2 linked regions of the Elephas maximus indicus genome follow. The protein of the gene in region 2 interacts with the protein of the main gene of each other region in a biochemical or structural test. Links are inferred from orthologs where the notes say so. Each region holds a gene or a part of one and is shown on either strand. Other genes may lie near its edges.

Evidence for each region. The genes of interacting proteins can lie anywhere in the genome.
Region 1: the proteins of CCKBR (region 2) and CCK form a complex in vitro, tested with the Homo sapiens proteins (3 studies listed by BioGRID). The link is inferred for Elephas maximus indicus from reciprocal best matches to the Homo sapiens genes CCKBR and CCK.

What each region holds. Positions count from the first base shown.
Region 1 is NC_064838.1:46,705,229-46,712,950, forward strand, and holds the start of CCK (cholecystokinin), read right to left. Parts: upstream 3,045-7,722; 5' UTR 2,994-3,044; intron 1,944-2,993; 5' UTR 1,942-1,943; coding exon 1,728-1,941; intron 1-1,727. UniProt on the Homo sapiens protein: This peptide hormone induces gall bladder contraction and the release of pancreatic enzymes in the gut. Its function in the brain is not clear.
Region 2 is NC_064825.1:59,927,377-59,935,474, reverse strand, and holds the start of CCKBR (gastrin/cholecystokinin type B receptor), read right to left. Parts: upstream 3,071-8,098; 5' UTR 3,019-3,070; coding exon 2,868-3,018; intron 1-2,867. UniProt on the Homo sapiens protein: Receptor for gastrin and cholecystokinin. The CCK-B receptors occur throughout the central nervous system where they modulate anxiety, analgesia, arousal, and neuroleptic activity.

The sequences.
Region 1 (7,722 bases), on a different chromosome or scaffold from region 2:
TCCAAATAGGTAAAATATTCAAAGAAACCGAACCATTTTTAAATGTATATATATTTATCCCTAGTTCATATTTGTCAAATAGAAGCACATGCTTGTTTTCTAGCTTCCACTAATCTGTGGGTGTTGGCAGCTAAAGTTTCAGGTGACTGCCATTCCTACCTGGGTTGTTTGGACAACAGGCTGAAGGCCAAGGAAGAAGCGTTGAGAAGTAGTGAGAGGAAGAAATTTCCAACTAAGATGTGTGCTATGAGAGCCACTGTCAAGCATCAGACCTGGGAAATAATGTTGTAACTGGCTTTTTCTGGAACTATTTCTCTATGATCTTTCCTGAAGGTGGGGAGGGGAGCAAGGTGGATTAGCTCTCAGATTTTCTTCCAGAAAAAAAAAAAAAAAAAAGCCTAGAAAGTTTCAGATAGATCTGGCTGAAATTCAGCCCAAACTCAGGGTCAGATATTAAATCACTTTCAGACAGATAATCACCAGGAGCCCCGAAAGTTCTCAGACCTTTTCTGTTATCCTACTAGTATTTCCATCTCTTTCAATGCGATTAGCAGGAAAGCAAAACAGAAGGTGGGAGTTTCAACAATTTCCCAAAGGGAGGAAGAAATATAATGAGTCACTTCTCTTTCCCTCTGAAATCCCCTAGTTGAAAAGGTTCCAGTCTCTCCTTCATAAGAAACCATGGGAGACTCTGGAGAGCCAAGCCCTCCATTTTCTCTTCCTCTAGTCAAATCCAGGAGGAAACCTGGTGGTGCAATGGTTAAGTGCTTGGCTGCTAACCAAAAGGTTGGCAGTTCAAACCCACCCAGCAGCTCCAAGGGAGAAAAGACCTGGTAATCTTCATCCATAAGGATTACAGCCAAGAAAATCCTAGAGGGTAGTTCTACTCTGTCACATGGGGATCCTATGAGGCAGAATCCATTCTAGGGTACCCAACAACTGTCAAATCTGGTAGAGCAAGAGAGCCTCTTGGGAAAGGGAGCCTACCTGCCTCCCACTTTCACCCTGAGGCATTTGCTGAATGTTTTGGTCCAGTTGAGCACCTGCCCCGCAGCCCAAGTGCCCACCATCAGTGTCACTGTGGATGGAGTTGGTTGAATAAAGGGTTGGGCAATCATGGCCAAGAAGAACTCCAAATTGCTACCGATTCCTTTCTCCTATTACGTAGTTTGGTGAACACTGACACTGTCACTTCTTTTCTAACTGCTGTTGTCAGATCTCAGGCATTGGCAGTATTGATCACATCCTGCCAGAGTGTTTCCAATTGCCAATATCTGGGGGCTACAGGTTTCTTTGCATCTACAACAGACTATTTACTGGTTATGTGAACCCTTTTAGAGAGCTCTACATACATTTAAATTCATATTTGCAAAGCGAATTTAAATCTTATCTTTTAATGTCTTCATAAAATGCCTTGAACTTAGCAACACCGGGCCAAAAATTAGTTCAAAGAAACCTTTTAAAAAGCTTCATCTTCCTAATAAAACCGCTTCCTGCCCCTCCTCCCTCCGCCCCCCCTCCCCGAGTTTGCTACAAAGTATGTTCAGAAAACTGAAACGTCTAGTGAGGTATAGCCAGGCAAAGGAAAATGAAAAACCTTTTAGCTTAACCTATCGCCTGCGTTTGCCCCAAGAGGTATCTCCATCAGTAGGGCGCTAGGGGAGAGGCTAAGGATTGGGAGCCCTGATCCTGGGCAGACGTGAGGGATGGAGAGGCGCCATCCTTACCTTTCCGGGCCTGCTGGATATATCTGGCCAGCAGCGCTCCCAGGTGCGCTCGGGGCTCGCCGTCCACCCTCTGAACTGCCCTCAGCGGCCTCCGGGGCGCCTCCTCTGCTCGCTGCACCCCGGGGCCAGCGGGATCAGCCGGGGGCGCGGGCTGCACCAGGGCGCCCGCCGCCAGTACAGCCATCAGCACGCACAGGCGCACGCCGTTATTCATGGCTGTGGAGAGCAAGGGGGCGGGGGTGGCGGCAGTTAACCAAAAGGTGGGGCCCAGGTGGGCTCCTGCGGGGAGTAGGGGGAGCCAGGGCACAGAGAAGGGTTTCAGCCCAAGCACGGGTCGCTCCGGACGAGCCAGGCTAGCACAGGCAAAAGGACTCGCTGGGCGCAGACTCGAGTACGGTGGCCACAGCACGCGCGTCAGGGTGCACCAGGCTTGTCTTTGGGTAAACCACACCCGGTGTTCGGGGAGCGCGCAGAGGCCCCTGTTTTCTGCGATGCTTAGCAGAAAGAATGTTTTCTGCTTTCCTTTATGTTGAAGAAATGTTAGTAGAGAGTCTGCCTTCTAACTGGAAAAGCAAGGGATTAAGAAAACGTGCGAACCTTTGAAGAAAGGTAGCAGGTTTCCAGATAGCGAAGAAGCTTTTGGTAGGGAAATAAATGGTGAGAAAATAGAAGCACAGTTAAAAATGTGGGAGCAATGGACAAAAGCCATATTTGGAAAGTTTCTTCAGGATCTACATGAAATGGCACCAAATCATTAGCTAAACACAGGCAGGGTTTTTAAAATCAGTGATATGCGCTCAGCCGTCAGTCATTGGCAAAGTCCCGCTGCGTTTCAGACTCGCGAGCAGATTAAACACCCGCAGATGCCTACCCCCAAACACTGAATTTTCTGCAGTATTTACAAAGTGAATTTAAATTTTAAAAACTTCTAGGTATTTTATTTGAAAAGATGGCAAAGTCCACAGCACCTCTGCGTAAAATCTAACAAATTCCACTTTGAATGCTCATCCTTTGCCAAAGGATATTACAGCGTTGTGCGCTTAAAACAAGGATGCGCGTCCGTGAAAGTCTCGAAAGCAGCTTCACCCGCCCAGCATGCATTGTTAGATGTAGGGCTGTTATTTCTGACTTGAAGAAATGGCATTCAAGCGGTCGGAGGGAAGACACGAAAACCGAAGAATAAAATGCAAAGGGGCACAAAACTGAAGACACCATTCCTACGACAAAAGACCCTTGGATTCCGCTTTGGCGGGAGGGCAAACCTACCTTTGGAGAAGAACGCAGATGGCTTCGCGTTCCCACCAGAGCAGCAGGCAGCCCAAGCCAAGTTCAGGGTGGGCGGGCGGCTGCCTCTTAAATAGCCCCGCCCGGCACTGCTGTCCAGTCATCTATTTTCCCAGCGCTGACGCAAACGGGCTGCAACACGTGCTCAGATGGCGGCCACTAGGGCGACAACCGATTGAGGTGGCTCCTGGAGGACAGGGGGAAAGGGCCTAGTGTAGTCGGGTTAACCTGTCCCTGCCGGGTGCCGGGTGGCCAGCCCTCCTCTCTGTTCCAGGCGCTTCCTCCTCCAACTCTATCCAGCTCCCTCTCCCTTGCCCATTCCAGCGCCTTGCTAGTCAGGGCAGTAGACCTGGGTGTCGGAGTCTCCCGCAGGATGGAGAAGCTTCTTGCGTTTAATCCTCCTTAGGGATCGAATGAGCCGAAAAAGCCTTTAGTGAACTCCAGGCTGGGCTGAGTGTCAGCCAAGTGTAATTCTGAGAGGGAAGGTATGTGGCCTCTCTCCGAGCACCCTAGGCAGCTCCCATCTCTAGACATGTTAGTGTGCTCCCTCGGGGGAGGGAGGGCTAAGTCGGGGTCGTCACTCACTTCCCAGCCTCATTAAAAGCCCTTGAAGGTCTCCAAGATTTTGAGGGTCTGTGTTCCGGGGCAGTGAATGGACTCCGGCCACAGCCGGCTGTTGGCGTCCTGGGCCTCGCTTTCTGCGGCTGTAAAATGGGGATGACACTATCTGGCTTTGCTCAGAGGAACCCAGCTCAGGAATGGTCTGCGTTTTCTTCGAGGCTGAGGCACCACCTACCCGAGGCCCACGCGGCATCTCTCAGCCGCCACAAAGTGGCGCCAGCGAGTGTCCCAGTTTGTCTCCCACCTTAACCCCGACCTCTGAGGACATCGACATCCCATCTCCTACCTCCCCTGCATTCTTGCGCATTCGGATCCCCGGACTCATCCCCACCAGAACTCCGGTTGCTAGGCTTGGCGACAAGGACCCCGCCCCGGTCGCTCACCCGCCCTTCCCAGCGCGGTCGCACCCTGGCTCCCGATCCGGGAGATCCCGAGCCAGTGTGTTGTCGTGGTCTTCACCCATCTCCGCCCTGAAGCCGTTTGGGTTTCAGTCCCGGGGCTTAGTGCTTGAGGTCGCCTCGTCCCTGAGTAGGCATTGCCACCCTCGTTTCGCAGACGGCAAACCAAGGCGAGCAGCAGAGCAGCTCCTCACCACCGCACCACCGAAGGCCGGGCAGAGATCTGGAAACCTTTCTTTCAAATCGGAATCCCTATTCAGCTCTGCCGGTAGGGGCTCCCGAGGTGGCAGGTCTGTGGGGCACCCGCGTGGGGGTTGAAACGCCACCCCCCAAACCCGAGGAGCAGCTATCTTTCTGCAATCAAAGGCAGCGTTTTAAAAACTGAGCAGCTGGCTAACTGCTTTCCAGTGGTTTTTCAAAACAAAACCCAGTGCCGTCCAGTCGATTCCGACTCATAGTGACCCTATAGGACAGAGTAGAACTACCCCATAGAGTTTCCAAGGATCGCCTGGCGGATTCGAACTGCCGACCCTTTGGTTAGCAGCCGTAGCATTTAACCACTACACCAGCAGGGTTTCAGGTGGTTTTTCAAGAGGTTGCTAAATGTGCGCGTAGTTCAGTTAGGGGAGCTGGTTATATTTGTGACCATGGCCAAGACAGGTCTAGAAATACAAACTTGTTATAGAACCGTGGTTCTCAAACTTTAGGGTAGGGTGGTGATCACCAGTCTGGGGGTGGTGGGAAGAGTGACAGCTTGAAGGAATGAATGGAGGAAAGAGCCAGAGAAGGGGTGGCCAAGGGGCTGGAGAGGAATGTCACAAGGCAAAGCCAAAGGTGACAAGGACTATGATATGAAGAAGGGACCATCAAGGGGGCCTCTTTCATTTGCCATAAAGTTGTGGCCACTTTGCCCCAGGAATGAGAATACTGGACAGGAAAGTGTTAAAGAAGATCCTCTGGGAAAATTAAAAACCAAAAAGGAACCTGAACACAATAATGATTTTTTCCTTCTTAATGGGTTAGACCAAAATCAAACCCGCTGCCATCGAATCCATTCCGATTCATATAGCGACCCTATAGGACAGAGTAGAACTGCCTCATAGAATTTCCAAAGAGCGCCTGGTGAATTTGAACTGGTGACCTCTTGGTTAGCAGTCATAGCACTTAACCACTAGGCCACCAGGGTTTCTGAGGGTGCTAATAATTCTCACCGTTGTTCTTAGTTATTAAGCAAGATGGGCAGGAGCCTGAGCTTTTCTTATATGGCATATCTGCACCAAGGAGAATCCATTTGTTCACTAACAAATCCTTGCTCGATGCTCCTGAGGCAGATGCTTTTGGTACCTGTTTCCACAGATCTGCCTTCCACTTCTGGCTGGGCAGTTTTGAGAGCAAGGACAGCATTCCCTCCTCAAGCCTCCAAAGCTCCCCTCTACTTCTCTGTTCAAAGCTCAGCCCCCACAGAGGCTCAGCTGGTATGCGAGGGTGTTAACTCCCCTGAGGGCAATGCTCAACCAGCAAGGAATGGGAACTTCCAGTCTTCTGCTCTCCCTATGGACCATTCCAAAAGCTTCTGGAACTTCCCCCAAGATCCTTGACTCCCCTTCATCTGCAGCAGTGACCTTGATAACACCACTTTAATTGGCTTTGCCGCCTTCCCTGTCTTTCTCTCTCTTCTCATTTTCTTGTATCTACTCCCTGGGATCATCACCCAAATAAACCATCTATCCCCGAATTCTCATCTGATTTCAGAAGAATCCAGCTGAAGACACCAACCATCTATCAGACACTGCTGGGGTACAGCAGTGAGCAAAGCAGACAAAATCCCTGCTCTTGTGATGCTCCCATGCTAGTAGGGGAGGCAGACAATGAACAAGAACATAATCAATAGATCATGAAGGACCCAATGCTAAGGAGAAAAGCAGAGCAGGGAAAGGGTGTGGGGAGAGCAGGGCAGGGTGTTATATTAACATATGCAAACCTCTGTTAAGCTTTTTGATATGTAGACTTCACTCTAGTTAGAAGAAATGGTTTTGCTCTTCAGTCCAAATAAAGCAAAAAGCAGTTGTAATGCATTTTACTTTGATGGAGGTTGTTTTTACATTTCACCAAGTGTGAGATGGTAATTAAATTTCACTCTTGGTCCATCGCCTTGTCCCAGAAGAGAAATAAAAAAGGGCAGTGCCCTCTCTGTTCTTCCCTGGTAGCCTGCCATCACTGAGTGAGGCCCCTGATGATGAGGAAGATCTTCCTGCAAAGGACTGAAATACATGGTGAATGAGTTCAAGACATTGCTTTTGAGAGGGAGTGGTGCTTAACAAAACCATTTGACTGTTTTCTGAGTTTGGAATCCAGAAATTTTCATTGGATTGTGGTGAAAAGAACTTAAGTGGGGTCTGTTTCAGAGTCTGGGGAATGCCTTCAGCCACACATTGAAATTTTTTGTTCAGCTCTTTTACTTCATCGTTTCTTCAATTCTCTTTAGCTACTCTAAGTTCAAGAGTAAGTTTCAGAGTCTCTTCTGACACCCATTTGGTCTTTCTTTCCTGCCTTTTTAATGATGTCTTGCTTTCTTCATGTATGTTGTCCTTGATGTCATCCCACAATTCATCTGGTTTTCCGTCATTAGTGTTCAATGCTCCAAGTCTGTTCTTGAGATGGTTTCTAAATTCAGTTGGATGTACTCAACATCGTACTTTGGCTCTCAAGGACTTGTTTTAGTTGTCTTCAGCTTCAGCTTAAATTTGCATATGAGCAATTGATGGTCTGTTGGCCCAGGACTTGTTATGACTGATGATAAATACTTGAAATGATAAACAGTGAAATAGATGCAATATTTCCAATGTAGAATTTGCAGCCATGGGAAGTATCTCAAAGACATATGCCCATCTTGTATTTGTAGAAAACTTAGTGGCATTTTCAAGGACATGCTTTACCGGTTGGAGTCCAGTCGATTCCAATGCATGGTGACTCCAGGAGCTGCAAAGTAGAACTGCACTCCAGAGGATTTTCAAGGCTGTAGTCTTTTGGAAGCAGATGACCAGACCTTTCTTTGGAGGCATCTCTGAGTGGGTTCTAACCACTAGCCTTTTGGTTAGTAGCCAAGTGCTTAACAACTTGCACCACTCAAGTATTTATCATCAGCCATAACAAGTCCTGGGCCAACAGACCATCAATTGCTCATATACAAATTCAAGTTGAAGCTGAAGAAAACTAAAGTCCTTGAAAGCCAAAGTACGATCTTGAGTATATCCCATCCGAATTTAGAAACCATCTCAAGAATAGATTTGACACATTGAACACTAATGATGGAAAACTAGATGAATTGTGGGATGACATCAAGGACAACATACATGAAGAAAGCAAGACATCATTAAAAAGGCAGGAAAGAAAGACCAAATGGGTGTCAGAAGAGACTCTGAAACTTACTCTTGAACTTAGAGTAGCTAAAGAGAATTGAAGAAATAATGAAGTAAAAGAGCTGAACAGATTTCAAAGGGTGGCTGAAGAAGACAAAGTAAATTATTATAATGAAATGTGCAAAGACCTGTAGTTAGAAGACCAAAAGGAAAGGACATGCTCAGCATTTCTGAAGCTGAAAGAACTGAAGGAAAAACTCAAGCTTCGAGTTGCAATGTTGAAGGATTCTATGGTCAAAATAAGGGGTCCTGATGGCATAGTGGTTAAGTGCT
Region 2 (8,098 bases):
ACACACTCCTTCCTCAATCTAATGCATTTTCCAGCACTATCCTGTTTTTCCTTTGTTTCTCTCTCTCCCTACAAAATTTCTTGAAAGTTTTGTCTACACACCCTAGTTCACTTCTCAAACCCCCTCTCCCACTGGCCCAACCTTTAACCTACTGCAGTCAGGCCTCAGCACCCACAATTCTACCTAAGAACTTTCTTGCTGTTGAATATGAAGGTCACTGTTCTGCCCTTTTCCAACTATATTGCCAGTGTTTGACATCATTTACCCTACCCTAAAAAGAAGCCCTCGTGGTGCAGTGGTTAAGCACTTGACTGCTAACTGAGAGGTGGTGGTTAGAACCCACCAGCCACTCCGCAGGAGAAAGATGTAGCAGTCTGCTTCCGTAAAGATTATAGCCTGGAAACCCCACGGTGCAGTTCTACCCTGTCGCATATGGTTGCTGTGAATTGGAATCGACTCAAGGACAGTGAGTTTGGTTTTGGATCCCACCCTGCTTGAAACTGTCTTTTCCCTTGACTTCTGGAAGGACATAGCTCCTGTCTCTCTGATAGTTTGGTCTAAATCTATTCCATGGACTCTCCTTCCTTTGCCTGGCTTTTAAATATTGGGTTTCCCCAGGGTCCTTTCCTAGGACTTCTTTTCTTTTCATTCTACACAATCTTTGGATGATTTTATCTATTCCCATGGCTTCCATTACCTCCTCTAGGCAAAGGCCTTTCAAGTCTGTATTAATAGCTCAGACTTCTCCCTGAAGCTCCAGACCCACAGATTCAACAGCCTACTGGGCAATTTAACCTGGATGTCTCACTGGCATTTAAACTCAGTGGGTTCCAAACTGAATTTATAATCCCTTCCAAAGTTGTTTATGCTCCTTTGTTATCCTTCTCATTATAAAGCACCAACATCCATCCAATTACTCAAGCTAGAAACCTGGGTTTCATCCCTTGACCTCTCCCTCCCACCCCACTTCTAATCAATCACCAAGTCTTGTTGATTCTGCTTCCAGAAGTGGCTCTTCTCTCCATCTCCATTGCCAGTACCTTTGTCTAAGCATCTTGTTTCACCTGGATAACTGTAATAGCCTTCTAAAGTGTTCCTCTGTCCTCCGTCTCATGTCCTCCAATCCATCCTCTACACTATACAACGAATCCTGGTTTAAAACCTTTTAGTTGTTCCCACTGCCTTCAGGATAAAATCCACACCCTTTAGCTGGGTCTATAAGAGTCCGTAAATACACTAGTTTGATCTCCAGCCTGAGCGTTCATTATTCCCCTCAGATGGTACAAGTCAGTCAGAAACTATGTCACACTGATTAAAAGTGCCATGAATTTACACTTTGGGCTTTTACACATACTTTCCTCTGCTTGGGATGCTTTTTTTTTTTTTTGCCTCTTCTTCCCCCTCGCTTGGCTGGATCTCTCTCATCTATCTGATTTCACCTTAGATATCACTTCCTCAGACTTGATTTCCAAGTCTGGGTTTGGTGCTTGTCTTCTGTGTTCCCACAACCCTATAAGGCACTTTTCATTTGGGGCTGCAATTCCCTGATTACTTGTCTGTCCCCACCACTAAACTGTGAGCTCCATGAAGTAGAGACTGTTTCAGTTTCGTTCAACTCATTCCCCGGTACCTAGCACAGTCTCTGGTTCGGTAAATATTTGTTGACTGAAAGAATCTAAGTGAGTGTGTGTAACAACTGAGCTGAGAAAGCATGCATTATTAGTTTGTGGAGTAAATCAATGCTTGAACTACAGTGCATTCTAACTATTCCCTTCTTAACACTGTTTCCTCTCCTAGAATTGCCCTCCTCCCTTTTCTGCCTACAGAACTCCAATTCTAAGAGTCAGCTCCCCTCCTCTTGAAGTTCTTGGTCCCCATCAGTCTGAACTAATTAATTCTGTCCTTTAAGTGTTGACAGTTCAGACCCTCTCACGCCACTGGCCACGCTGACCGTGATTTATCCATTGGCTTGTCTCTCCTCTGTACTTGACTATGGGGACATCTTTGTGTCCCCAGAACTGGGAGATCAGGTGTTCGATAAACATTTAAAGAAAGGAGGGGTGCAGGAATTATCAAGAAAATGATGATGTGAGCTGATGAGAGGATTGAAAATCTCTCTTGGGGACTGGGTGATTGGAAGTAGTCTGAGGAGGGTAGGAAGGGGGAGAAGATGGTGGCACAAAGGGACGGAGGCTATGGAGTGGGCAGGCTGGCTCATGGAGAGGGTGAGATTTAAGGATAGGCAGGATGCAGAGGGGGCCTGGAGACTTGGAGACAGAGAGAGAGAGTACAGAGCCTTGAGAAGAACCTCAACTTGGGAGATAGAGGGGTTTGAAGGCAGTACCCAGTGCCGTCGAGTTGATTCCGACTCATGAGGGGTTGGAGGAGTGAAATGGGGAGCAGCCCTTAGGGGGTCAGGCATGAGGATCTCCTTTGGGAGGGCTGGGGCTTATGGTGGGGGACAGAGGAGATTACAGCTCTAACTTCCCATTCAGGCCTTCCAGAATGCTCCCTCCTCTAACCAGATCCCTTCTTTTCTCAATCTTCCCTTCCTTTCTTCCCTCCCTTCCCCAGCGTGGCACCAGGAACTGGATGTAAAAGGAAAAGAGATATCTCCAAGGGTTGACAAGAAGAGGTCCTTGTCTCCCAACTCTCTGGGTCAAGGAGGGGGATGTGTGTTGTGGGGAGGGCTGTGAGGAGCTGGTGTGGTGGTGGGGGGTCGTCTGTGTGAGGGGCAGCTGAGGGAGTACTCCCAAGGAGATGGTGTGGCCGTTTGAGGCGGCAGTGTGGAGGGCGTGGGGAGCTTCTATTACTGCTGTAGGGTGCTGTGAGAAGGAGCTTGTGAGGAAGGTTAGGGAGGCACCCACCTCGTGTCCCGGCTCCGCGGATGCGTGGGGACTCGCAGCTGAGGTTGCTGGCACTGCTGCCGTTGAGGAGGAGGCCCCCTGGGCGGCACAGAGAAGCCCCCGACCCAGGTCCGGGTCCCGGCACGCTCCGGTTCAGCCTCAGCAGCTCCATGGCCCCAGCGGGGCCAGCTGCCTCCGTCCGCTGGGCCGGGCGGGCTCCTGCCGCGGCTCCACCTGCTCACGCTGCGATTCAGGCTCAGACGCCCCCGCCCCCCGCGCCCGTCTGGTCCCCGCCCCAGCTCCGGCCCCACGCCTCAGCTCTGCTCTGCGCGCCCTGCCGGGGCACTGGTGCCTCCCTGGCGCGGGGCCGCGTCTGTCCGGCCAGGTGATGCCTCCGCCCCCGCCCCCTGCTGCGGACTCACCCGCCCCCTCCCTGCGAGACTGTCCTCCAAGGGTCCCCCCACTCCCTGGATCTCTCCAGTCTTCTCTTAGAGATTTCCTTCCCTCTCTCTTCCCCCGCCCCCGATTCCGGGGAAATCTTGGGGAGAGAGAGAGCCAGAAGGCCAGAGAGAGAAAGAGATGTTATGTGTGTGTGTGTGTGTGTTTGTTGGTGGGAGGGGCCGATGCGGGGTGGGGGGATAAGAGGGGTGGAGTAGGGCGCTACTGCCCCGGGTTCCTGTATCTCTTTGGATGGGGTAGGGAACGTGCAGGTGGCGTCGGAGACAAGGGCTGCGTGTGGGGGTCACCCGCTGCAGCGCAGTTGCTTTAGCCCCAGAGAGGCGCGGAGTGGCCAGTGACCTCGGCACTCTCGCTAACCTAATGCCCCTCAGCTCGTCACCGCAGGGCTGGGGTAGCCTCTGCATCTGCCCCGGCACTCTCCACCTCCTACCCAAGGCCCAAACCCAGGCTTCCACCCAAGGCTCAAAAGAACTTCCAGTAGCTGGCAGGGGAGGGCGGGGGAGAAGGAGCGCATTTGTCCCCAGGAAAGCCTTGGCAGGGGAAAGGGCTGCCTGGAGGAAGAGTCTGACTTGGACTTTGAGAGCGGCCAGAGGTGGTGGTGAGAAGTGCCCGGGATAAACGGGGATGAGATAGAGGATGGTTCCAATCCGAGCCCAGCGCAGGCAGAAAAGGGGAGGAAGAGGCTGGCTGGCTTTCTCCGCGGTTTCCAGGCAGCGCCCACTCCCACCCAACACGCTGATGGCTCGGTGTTTGCTCTCAGCGCAGGTGGAGCGGCCGGTGTAGTGCGCCTGGTTCCCACGAGAGGGGGCCAGAAGGGGGCTGGGTCACCGAGGGGCAGCGGCAACAAAGGAACAGGGGGCGTGTGCAGGACTGAGGTGGGTTCAGCTTCTTAGGGCAGGACGCCCCCTAATATTTCAGCACTGCCAGCTATCCATCCTCCTGTATTCCTAACAAACTCCAGTCCCCATCAGTAGCTGCAAGAGGTGGGGGCATCAGTCAAAGAGCAGATTAGCGTGGGGATGGGTTCCGGGTTTATGGGGAATTCAGAGGACCTGGTCCATCCAGCGCTGAGCTGATTGCGGCTGGAGCACTGAAGGAGGGTTTCAGCCTGAGGTGGCTGGGGATGTCCTCACCTGCCCCTCTTTCCTTCCTCCTGGCAGTACCTGCCTTGCCCATCAGAGGAGCCTGATTTGCTGTTTATTCAGAGGCAGCCCAGGTGGGGCCTCAGATAACCTGCTGTACTTTTCCCACATTGGATGGAGGGGCGAAGTGAGGGTAGGGGAGAAAAGGGAATGTTGAGGAGAGAAAGGTGGAAATAGGAGTCATGGACAGTCATTCACTTATTCAACAAAGTATGTGCCAGCTATAGGGCTGAACCCTGGCTGTCCAATACAGTCTGTGCTTGAGTAGCTCCCAATCTAGTGGGGAAAAATGCTTGCAATATATGTCATAAATGCACCCACCAGGTTGCGCAAGTCAGAAATTTAGGAATCACCCTTAATGCCTTCATTCCTGTGGTGGAGGCTGTGATGCAAAACCCAGACCCCTTCAAAAATGAAGGATTTATTCTTATCTCAAGCTGGATTTATTCTCAATTTCATACCTGAGCTGAAGAGAGCTGGTTTATCCAAGGTGATGTTTGCTTTCTAAACCCACTATCCTAAATCTAATGACTGATCAGTGCAGAGGTATAAAGTCCTCATCCCAATGGAGGACAACTCTGAATGACATTTACAGCCCCAGAGCTCCTTATGGGGTTGACAGAGGCCTTCATTGGGACTAAATTACTGCTTAGCTTCTCCCTTTGCCCAGTTCTGTTTTTGTCCTCTCTCTTGCACAGGTGTTGACTCCAAGAACGCTCTTAGTAAACATCTCTGTTTTAGAGTCTACTTCTTGAGAATTCCAACTGCATTACTCTCATACCCAATCAATCACAAAGTCCTGCTGCCAAGCAATTTGGAAGACAGCTACCTGGCCCACCAGCTGGAAGAGCTCCATATTTATGCCTATTCCCAAGAAAGGTGGTCCAACTGAATTTGGAAATTATCGAACAATATCATTAATATCACATACAAGTAAAATCTTGCTGAAGATCATTCAAAAGCAGCTGCAGCAGTATATCGACAGGGAACTACCGAAATTCAAGCCAGGTTCAGAAGAGGACATGGAACCAGGGATATCATAGCTGATCTCAAAAGGATCTTGGTTGAAAGCAGAGAGTACCAGAAAGATGTTTACCTGTGTTTTATTGACTATGCAGAGGAATTCAACTGTGCGGATTCTAACAACTCATGGATAACATTGCAAAGAATGGAAATTTCAGAACCCTTAATTGTGCTCATGAAGAGCCTATACATAGATCAAGAGACAGTCTTTCGAAAAGAACAAGGGGAATACTGCGTGACCTAAAGTCAGGAAAGGTGTGTGTCAGGGTTATATCCTTTCACCATACCTATTCAGTCTGAGCAAATAATCCGAGAAGCTGGACTATATAAAGAAGAATGGGGCATCAGGATTCCAGGAAGGCTCATTAACAACTTGCGTTATGCAGGTGACACAACCTTGCTTGCTGAAAGCAAAGAGGACTTGAAACTTCCTGATGAAGATCAAAGACCACAGCCTTCAGTATGGATTACACCTCAACATAAACAAAACAAAAATCCACACAACTGGACCAATAATCAACATCATGATAAATGGAGAAAAGACTGAAGTTGTCAAGGATGTCATTTTACTTTGGATCCACAATCAACACCCATGGAAGAAGCAGTCAAGAAATGAAAAGATGCATTGAACTGGGCAAATCTGCTGCAAAAGACCCCTTTAAAGTGTTAAAAAGCAAAGATGTCATTTTAGGACTAACGTGCACCTGACCCAAGTCATGGTATTTTCAATTGCCTCATATGCATGGAAAATGGGTGATGAACAAGGAAGACAGAAGAATTGATGCTTTTGAATTGCGGTATTGGAGAAGAATATCGAATATACTATGAACTGCCAAAAGAACGAATGAACCTGTCTTGGAAGAAGTGCATCCAGAATATTCCTTAGAAGCAAGGATGGTGAGACTTTTTCTCACATACTTTGGACGTGTTATCAGGAGGAATCAGTCCCTGGATAAGGACATTATGCTTCTTAGAGGGTCAGCGAAAAACAGGAAGACCCTCAATGAGATGGATTGACGCAGTGGCTACAACAATGGGCTCAAGCATAACAATGATTATGAGGATGGCACAGGACTGGGCAGTGTTTTGTTCTGTTGTACACAGGGTCACTATGAGTTGGAGCTGACTCGTTGGCAGCTAACAACAAGTGTTCCTTGAATCAGTCTGCTTCCGTCTTACTGACATTACCCTACTGGCATCTCGAGCTCTTGTACTACTCTCCCAGCCTAAGTGGTCTACCACATTTTACTGATGCTTTCTTATGCCCATCCACTACCTTATAGCCTGAGTAATGTTTCAGAAAATAAATTTGATTATCCCACTCTTCTGCAAGCAAACCCTTTAACAGGGCCTGCAAAATCTGTGTGGTTTGGCTCCTACCTGCCTCTCCAACTTATCTCAGGCCACTATGGCCCTTGTTCTCTCCACTGTAGACATGCTGGACTTCCTTTAGTCCCTTTCATTTGCTTTAATTCCTTCAGCTACATGGTCTTTGCATATGCTGTTAGCTCTTTCAGAAACCCTGGTGGCATAGTGGTTAAGTGCTACAGCTCTTAACCAAGAGGTCGGCAGTTCAAATCCACCAGGTGCTCCTTGAAAACTCTACGGGGCAGTTCTACTCTGTCCTATAGGGTCGCTGTGAGTCGGAATTGACTCGACGGCAGTGGGTTTGGTTTTTGTTTTGGGTTAGCTCTTTCTGGAAGCTCCTTTCCTTCCTTACTGCCTTATCTCCTACTCAACCTTCTGATCTCAGCTCAAGCAGCAATTCCTCAGTGAAGCTTTCCCTGGCTTCCCTACCTGTGGCAGGCAGAATTAAAAAATGAGCCCCAATGACCCTCACCGTTTAAAATCTTTTTTCCTTGAGTGTGGGTGGAGCCTGTGCATATAATGAGATATCGCTTCTGTGATTATATCACCTCTTATGGCAAAAGGGATTTTGGAGATGAAATTAATGTTACTAATAAGTTGACCTTAAGAGAGATAATCTAAGTCTCTCCTAATCACAGGAGTTCTTTAAAAGCAGAGTGATTTCACAGTCTGTTTGCAGAAAGGAAGCCAGAGAAATTTGAAGCACAGGAAGAATTTGACACCCTGTTGTTGGCTTGAGAATGGAGGAGGGCACAGGGAAGGTACCTGAGGGAGGCCTCTAGCTGAGAGCAATCCCTGGCTGACAGCCAGCAAGAAAACAAGGACTCTAGTCATAAGGAACTGAATTCTGGCAGTGACAAGAATGAGATTGGAAACAGATTTTTCCCTAGTCTCCAGATGAGAATTTAGCCTTGCGATAACCTGAGCAGAGAACTCAGCCACACTATGCTGGACTTCTGGTCTACTGATCTATGAGCTAATAAATTGGTGTTGCTTTAAGCTACTATATTTGTGGTAATTTGTTACGGCAGCAGTAGAAAACTAATACACCGCCCATCTCAAGAGGCAGCAAATGCAGACCCTTGCAAGCCATGCTAGTAAGCTTCTCGCTTTTTCTGGAAGCAGTGGGAGGGCTCAAACTTTGTTAAGATTTAGGTAGATTGCAGTGGCAGCTAGTGTAAAGAGCAACTTAAGGAGGTGGGACCAACTGGGAGTCCATGGCAGTAATTCAGGTGAGAGATGATAGTGTTCTAAAGTCAT